Daphnia pulex: one gene and its partner. The protein of the gene in region 2 purifies or fractionates together with the protein of the main gene of each other region. This does not show direct contact. Links are inferred from orthologs where the notes say so. Each region holds a gene or a part of one and is shown on either strand. Other genes may lie near its edges.

Region 1 (4,453 bases), about 1.1 Mb from region 2:
TACCCAATTGAAGGAGCTGTAATCTTGGCTCCATTAGATTTCACAAAAAGTTTGTCCCAGACCAGAATAACAGAAATACTTGGTGGGCAACTTGCTAATGCAGTCCTAAGTGATATGGTAGGGCTGATTTTATTTCAGTTTTTTTTTACCTTAAATTATTTCAATTAATATTTGCTAATTAAATTTAGGCTCCTGCAGCATCGGGTATACGAGATTTGGATCAAGATAGGATATTAGAATTAGCATATTCAGTGCTGCGTTACGCGCAACAAATCTCTATGGACGGAGCTACGCTATTGATAAAATTATGGGCAGGAGGAAGAATCAAACAACTGGAGAATGAGATTGCATTACACTATTCTCAAGTCAAAGTTGTGAAACCACCTAGTAGTAGACAGGATTCAGCTGAAATGTTTATACTAGCTAGTAATTTCAAGAAAAATACATAGTAATTATTTAACTACTTACTTTGCTTTATTCACATTGAAGTCTACTGAAATTTTGCTTCATCCATGTATTCAATTCACCTTAGTTACATCACTGACTCTAAGCACACTTTTAACAGTTTGATTGGCCGGTGACAATTTTTAAATTTAGTGTGGCAAATTGCAAATCTCACACGAAGATAAATTAGGCATATTGATGAAAGTGCAGTGAAGACAGGTCCAGGATTTGCCAGCGGCATCTCCGGTAGCACCTTCTTCCATCGGTTGCCCTGGTGTCGACATTTGATCAGCGTGAGCCAGGAGCTGACGGACAGTGCTCCATTGTTCACCAGATGCCCATTGATTTGCAGCCTCCGCATTTTTCGAACGAACAGCTTCTAATATTGGATCCATACTTTCCTGTTGGTTTTGTAAAATGAATAAGTAAAACAAAATCAAAATAATAGCAATACAAAAAACTTGCCATGAGCGGAAGCATATCCATTGTAGCGACGTATATCAGAAAATGGAAATCTGACGCGGCTTCGAGAAAATTCTGACGATTTTGTTTCAAGTAAGAATCCAAAGCTGACAAATCTTGAAGATGACCATCGATAAGACTAGAAAATTTTAAAAGTTTTGAATTGAAGAACAATATAGTTTTAATAAATGTTAATACCGATTTTCAATGGGAAACGGTTTACGTGAGCCGACTGAAAAAGTAAATATGGGTTCCAACGGAGTAGAGACGGGAACATCGACCAACAAATATTCAACTGGAAGGGGACGAGCATCTCGAGTCACTTCATTTCCATATGAATCCTTTTCCTGTTATTAAAAAAATTCAAAATCATTTCAGACATTAAAATAAAAATCCGAATTAATGGAAACAAATTTTAATTATAATTTACTTAAACAGATTGCTAAATGTTCATAAATTGTGAGATCCATTTTTTCAAATTGCAACATGATATAATTTTACTTCGATTTATTTTTAAATATTGATCTTTTTTTTTTACACGCATCGCAAATCCCGCGTGTTGGAGAAATGAACGAAAACTGAATTGTTGAAACGGCGACAGCGCATTTGCCACGCTGTCCATACGGAAATATGGTCTAAACCAATCACAGCGAAGCCAGTAAGCCAAGGCAGACTAAAAACAAGGCCTGCCCACTAAGGGCACTCATTTCGTGAAGGATTTTACAACAATTTGGCTAATATGATTTAAAATAAACTGATCACAACCCAGACAATTACTCGAGAAGTCAAAGCATATTTTTCCAGTCCTACCCCCAATAAGTTTTCATCAAACTGTCTTACAAATGAGCGACGTTTGCTTTCAAGTTTGCAGCACTACAGTTCCACGTATGTCGAATATTTTAAAGAAGATTTTAATAAAAACACAAATGTTATTGGTTAACTTCATAACAAAAGAAGATTACTCAAGTAGCAGATAAAAGAATATATAGTTAATATAATGATAATATCGTTAAAAATATAATATTATCAATAAGAAATATGTTTGAGCGTGCTGCCGGTAGGGGCGCATGCGACTGCGGGACCGACATCGTGGCCGGTAGAGTGCTCATGAACGTACACCACGTTGTGGCTCTTTTAGTGGAGTGGAGAGAAACTGGCTCGGATCGCCCTTCCCCACAGTTCTCCACACGAGCCGGCTTGATAAGCCACGTGACGCACGTGCAAAAGTAGGCACAAATTCTATCGTTTTTTCCTAATTTCCCTTTAAGCTAGAAAATATCTAACGATTCATAACAGACGGGTGTTAAGCCGAGAAAATATTTTGATCAAAAAGTATACACTTGCTATTCTTAGAGACTGGAATTATTGACAGGAATTCGGCAGCAGACGTATCACGCGGTTGTCCCGCTGTTGCGTGTTGCTGCCATTTTCCTTCCAACCGATATGCCTCCATGCGCCACGCTGCACTAACCAATCTTCTCACTGCTCACGTTTACTAATTCAAGTGCTTTCTTTTGTATTGTTTTAGATACAAAATCTCTTGTAGAGAAATGGAGACTCAGGCAGATTTGACCACGCCTCTCAATGATGCATGCCCGACGTGCAACAACGTACTGGAATTCGACTGGACAAGCGCAGAAAAGATCTGCTTAAACTGCATCCACAATCTCCAATACAAAGATGATTTGATCCTGGATTTAAATGAGATGGCTACTAATTTTTCAATGGTACAGCTGGGGAACTACCAGTCTATACCCACCTCAATGGCTAGCCCCGTCAACTCTTCTCTGCACTCATCACCAGAAGTCTTTCTACCAAAATCTATTGGTGATGCATCAGAATGCCCCTTGCATCACTCCGCCTGCCTCTACTGGTGCTACACATGCATGACTCCTGCATGTCTGATCTGTACCAGTCAGCAACACTCGATGCTGACAGGACACAGGACCGGGCCTTTGAATGAAGCTCAAAGCCTCCTCCTGTCTCAGCTCCAAGTGGAAGTTCAAGCGGTTAAGAAGATTCACAGCGACAACAAACTTTTGACTGGGAGCCACAGAGAATTTCTCTGTTTAGTGATGGAAGCCTGCACTAGCTTGGAAAACCTCATGCGAGAAGAACTGAGCAGTCTCAACAAACAGAGCAGTTCTGCTGTGTCCAATGGCTTGAACGAAGAAGACACTACCCAGTTTCTGCTAAACAAAGTTACTTTTCAACTAGCTGGACTTTCAGGCCCCGACGAGGCAGCTGAAATGCTCAGATCTCTACAATCGGAACGGATTCGCCTTCAGACCAAGCAACAACAACTGGCCATGCAGCTGACTTTGAATCGTGTCATTGGTTCCAGCAACCAAGTACTGGACTTGCATACGTTCCGTCAGGCGGTTCAAAACTTACGATACTCTGGCAATCGTGGTCCGTCTACTATGGAACTGCTGCAGTCTCCACCCACCCAACCCGATCCTGTGGCCCTTTTGGCCAACGTCTGCAACGCTCGGCTGTACACGAAACAACTTTTGGCCAGCTCTCTACTGACTTCGACTTCCCCCAACAAGAGCAACTCGATGGCCAGCGTCCTCTCCCCTAGTTCTCCTCTGCACTCGTCTTTCCCTCGTTTTTTCCTAGATTTGGAAGTCGACGGAATCGTTGAAGGCCGCGTAGTATTGGAAACCCGACCAGATGTGGCGCCCAAGATGGCCAAGAATTTCGCATCGCTTTGCATGGGTGAGAAAGGATTTGGCTACAAGGGATGTCAAGTTTTCCAATGTTGGGGAGGAGAGTCGTGCATCGCCGGTGACTTTGAATGCAATTCCGGGCGTGGGGGACGATCCATCTACGCGGAAGAACCCTTCTTCATGCCCGACGACAGCAAGCTGCCCTGCATTCGAGCGGCGATCGGCATGAGACGAACGCAAAAAAAGCATCACAGCCAAGGGCTAGTGGGATCCCAATTCCGTATTCTACTTCGAGACATGCCCTTCTTCACTGGTGTCTTTGGCCACGTCATCCACGGATTGGAATTGGTGGAACGCGTTTCTTTTCTGGGCGATCATCAAGGCTTCCCTCGCAAACTCATCACCGTGGCCAATTGTGGATTGCTCAGTTAGAAGACAACGTTTCGCGACTTTTCTGTGTTTGCTGCTTTTCTTCTCAAAAAAAAACAACAACAACAACAAAAAAGAAAAAAATGCAAGAGGCATCGGGATGCACCCGAAAGAACCTAATATTTTTCTCCTAACCCTTCGAAAGCAACGAGTTTTTTTTTCACGTAGTGAAATGTAACAACTTGGCTCTACATCTGACCCTTTTCTTTTGACGACCGATACAAATTATTGCATCGCCCAGTTTCAATACTGCCACATGTTGTTTGGTAAATAGCAAGAATTGTTGTTATTTCTTTGTCGTACTTCTTTTTTTTCTGTCGTCGATTTAGTTATTATTACCCTCTTTCTATTTCCGCTACATTTCGTCGCCCCCATTCGTGAAGTTCGGATCAAGCATTTGAAAAATTGTCCCACTTTTTTTTTTCCTCCTCTACCAAACTTTAGCT
Region 2 (4,001 bases):
ATAGCGCACCACCGCCAGTTGAACCTCCACCACCAGCTCCTCCAGTTCAAGCTCCTCCAGTTCAAGCTCCTCCACCTGTCTCCCGCCCTCTCCCTCCTGTTCCCGCCCGTTCTACAGTTCAAGCTTCAGCTGTTCCGTCAGCTCCTACTGTCGTACCAGTACGAGAAGCTCAGCCCTCCAACGGAATTTCAACGGCTTCTCAACCCCCACAGTCGTTTAACGTAGTGAGGGCTCCTCCACCCATCCCAGCCAGGAATCTTCCACCTGTCCCTCCCCGCACGGCAAAATAACAAGTAAGTGGTTGACTGCCTGCGACTCCAGTGAAGATTAACAGTATTCATTCCTGCAAACTCTTCAAAAGTATCAACCGGAAGTTTGTTTGTTTTTCTTTCATGGCAAAAATTTTACTTAATTTAAATGTGTTGCGTGTTTCTTTAAATGTCTGCTTCTAGAAGTGATCAACAAATACTCTACAGCACTGATTTAGAAAAAAAAATTGTTTCAGGCTTATTCCACAATAATTCATATCTACCAGCAGAAACTTATACCCCAGTCACCGTAAACTTATATACTGTATTTTAGACTAATTGAAGGTACGCGTTGATTCAGGTTGTGTCGAATGATCCATTGTGTATCGGAACTAGTCATACTTCTCAACGGACTTCATTAATACCAACAAAACAGAATACATCCGTTGTCGCTGTTTAACACCTAAAGGAATTTTTGTTTATCACTTCGCAAAATAAAAATGCCAAAAAAAAGAACAACCAAATGAAAACAATATGTGACTAATGCAGAATTTTATCTGGAAAAGGGTTCAAATATTTCATGGATGTAGTGAATAATAATAAGCAATCACATGGATTGCATAAGGATCATTAACTCGTCTTTCAAGTAACCAGAAGAGGATGCAACGGCTGGAGTGAAATGAAAAATTGCTGATGGACAGAGTTGAAGATCAAGTAGAGTTGAATCTTGAATGTCCGGTTGGTTAACCACACCAGCCGGAGATACTAAATTGAACTCTATGAAGGGTTCTTCGAGTGCATCGCAAACAAACAAGCGAACGTCTTGCATAGTCTCATTGACTTTGAACGTTCCTTGGAGCACGGGACCATCCGGAAACTTTATGCGGATCAGGGTAAATCGGTATTTTCGTGATGCAGCCTTCTCATCTCGTTCCCTCATAGCCCGAGTACGAAGCATCAAGCCTTTCTCAGCCGCCTCGGTTTTCAATTGTTGTTCTCGTTTGATTTCTTCGGTTGTAAGCCAAAAAAAGTCCGAAGGCAATTCCACCCGTTGGGCAGCTTGCGATGGCATCAAAATTTGTATTCCTCTATCCAAATCTGGCCGAATCGCTTCCGCGCTTATCAAGCCATCACGTAAATTCTGCAATAATAGGCAATCTATAGTTGAACCGTATTCAGGAATAAAATGAAATTTTTACACTAATATATTCGATGTGTTCTGGTTGTGTGTTTAATAAAACCCAGAAGTCCTCCGGCTCCTGCTGAGCATTTTGTATAGACTTTAACTGGAAACCAGCTGCTTGCAAAAATTGTTGTACTCCTTCCAGCCGACCTACTCGTTCTTGGTACACTTTGTTATTTATACGAATTTTATGATACTTTTCCTCAGCTGGGTTCTGTACTATGTTATCCAAATAGCGAAACAATGTTTCAACACATTGCTGAACCTATATCGTCGATTAATCGAGAGAGAAAAAATGTGAAATAGATTTCTTTATTTGAAAATGATAAAAAATAACCTTTTCTTGAGGCTTATTTAATGTGTGTATAACTAGACAAGCAGTAAGTCCTGCTTCCTCATCTTCTAATTGCTGATAAAGAAACTCCTTAATCAATTTTTCAATTTCTTTTTTAGGCAGTACTTCAGGTCCTACAAATAATTGCATTAATTTAATTTACTATCACAGAGGATACACATACTACCTATCAGTGGGCACTTGTAGTAAACTCCACTAACAGCAAGTTCATTTGAGGATGGAAGTTGTTGGGTTTTCTCAGACAGAGTTAACTTTTGAATTGAAGTATCCTGTTTCTCTAGCTCCAATTCCTTTAATGCCTGGGCTCTTATTATTGCAGCTGATCGCTGTTGGGGAGTAGGGTCTTTTTTCTTTTCAAATCTGGCTAATGCAGCAGCTGCAGCTTGTTGTTGTGCTGCACTAGTTGAAGCTTCAGAACGAGCTTGAGTAGGAGCCAAATTTTTGCTTAGTTTTGGTTGTTGAACAGTTTCATTAAGTTTATGTCCTTCTCCTAAAAAATTACAAGTTTTCATTACTCTTTTAACAAACCCATATTAATTATTATGTTATTACCAGCCAATTTAAATTTTGTATCAGCTTTCTTCTTTTCAAAAAACTTTTTAATTTTATCCATTTTGAATCCTACGCCTTACCACCGTGGTGTATGCTCACTTGGTAGCTTTAACTCAGAAACTGCAGTCTTCAGCTGTTCACTTGAAATTTCGTATTGACTTGGCTTCAGAAATCTCTGTGTTATTCTTTCGCTGTAAATTTTCCACGCAACACAAATAGCTAATACATGGACAGTCAGTATGCAAAAGAAAACTTGTAATAATTTAATTTGGAAATCAGAAAAAGCTGAATCATAAAAGTTCACTAATATTTCTGAGAAATCAATCAACTTTAAGAGAATAGATTTAAATAAACTTTCACAGTGCCCTGGTAACACTTCAACAAAGTCAATGACAAAACTGATTAGAAGATAAATTAAGTTAACGGAATATTCGACGAAAACCTCGACCCACAAAGTAGATTGCTGTTCAACCAAAGTTTCTTCATCCACCTATAATATAGGTATTATGCAAATAATTATACATTCTAGCTTGGTCACTAGGTAAAATAATGCATTTAATTTTAATTATTAAGTTGTTTACCATGCTACGAAATTTAGAATTGAATCCTCGATCGATTCTAGTATCATGAAATGACATGTACTCTAATGATAGCCTTTTGTTTACAAAATATGAAAGAACGAACCAGGAACCAACTGCTGTTTAGCAGTTGCGTGTTTTATACGATCAATTTCCACTACAACCCAGGCCAGACCAGGCTAATAATCTTGTGTCCGCATCGTAACACATATTTCATTTTTGACAGGAAATTGCTGTTGGCAACTATAATCCAATAACGGCAATATGTTCTCAATATTTGCATGACAAATTACGTGATACAATATGACAGACGTTTTCTTTTATGACAAAACCCTTGATGGGCCATACGGGGCTACGTGAATTTCATTTTAGAATTACAGTTACTACGTCGTGCCCTTGGGTCATAATATATTGCATAAGTTTTCAGTTTTCAGGTAGGGTTAATAAAAAAAGGTATGCTACCACGCAATTTTATCAAGGTTACCTAAAAACTCAGTTCCCCAGCCCCCTCATTATGATGTTGCCAACTTTTCAATGATAAAACAAATATAACCCATCGATTTTATTTAATCTTTTACTTTAATAAAATTTTTAGGAATGTTAAAACAATTAGTTAAAATATTATTTTAAAATGTTTTAAATTTAATTGATATTGATCGTTCTCTGCGACCTTGAGTCCTTGACCAATCAGACTTCAAGAGGATGGGTTTACCGTTTAAAACCCCATCGGCCCCCTAGCGTCAATGTTCAAATTTCAAACCAGACAGGGTAGACAAATCTTCTCCGACTTTTAAAGAAGTAACGTTAGTTCCAGACTTCTAGTTGACTTTAGTTACAAAGAGACCTTACTCGAATACTTCGCTGCAAATAAGTATAACTTTTATTATCTAATGATTAGTACTGGCTTTCCAAATATTTAAGAAATTGTTGGGTATTTTGATGTAATAGTTCACGTTATAAATGGAGACCAAGCAACCGTTGAGGGACTTGCAAAACGTGACTAAACCTATGACCACTGCTCCCTTAGCAAAACCGGATGTTAAGCTTGAAAATGAAAGATCAAAACCTAAGTATGCTTGTCATTC

The links.
Region 1: the proteins of UBX domain-containing protein 6-like (region 2) and nuclear protein localization protein 4 homolog purify together in Homo sapiens (affinity purification with western blotting; 3 studies listed by BioGRID and IntAct, with this or other methods). This does not show direct contact. The link is inferred for Daphnia pulex from reciprocal best matches to the Homo sapiens genes UBXN6 and NPLOC4.

The regions. Positions count from the first base shown.
Region 1 is NC_060023.1:4,661,905-4,666,357, reverse strand, and holds the end of nuclear protein localization protein 4 homolog, read right to left. Parts: exon of another isoform or gene 4,011-4,453; coding exon of another isoform or gene 2,435-4,010; intron 2,239-2,434; exon of another isoform or gene 2,133-2,238; coding exon of another isoform or gene 1,945-2,132; exon of another isoform or gene 1,930-1,944; intron 1,254-1,929; coding exon 1,105-1,253; intron 1,046-1,104; coding exon 910-1,045; intron 846-909; coding exon 594-845; 3' UTR 500-593; downstream 1-499. Other genes in the region: rRNA methyltransferase 2, mitochondrial-like, read left to right, coding at 1-117, 189-449; uncharacterized protein LOC124198209, read left to right, coding at 1,945-2,132, 2,435-4,010. UniProt on the Homo sapiens protein: The ternary complex containing UFD1, VCP and NPLOC4 binds ubiquitinated proteins and is necessary for the export of misfolded proteins from the ER to the cytoplasm, where they are degraded by the proteasome.
Region 2 is NC_060023.1:5,743,515-5,747,515, reverse strand, and holds UBX domain-containing protein 6-like, read right to left. Parts: upstream 2,833-4,001; 5' UTR 2,400-2,832; coding exon 2,339-2,399; intron 2,277-2,338; coding exon 1,953-2,276; intron 1,900-1,952; coding exon 1,769-1,899; intron 1,697-1,768; coding exon 1,448-1,696; intron 1,390-1,447; coding exon 856-1,389; 3' UTR 611-855; downstream 1-610. Other genes in the region: synaptojanin-1-like, read left to right, coding at 1-290; aurora kinase A-like, read left to right, coding at 3,877-3,986. UniProt on the Homo sapiens protein: May negatively regulate the ATPase activity of VCP, an ATP-driven segregase that associates with different cofactors to control a wide variety of cellular processes.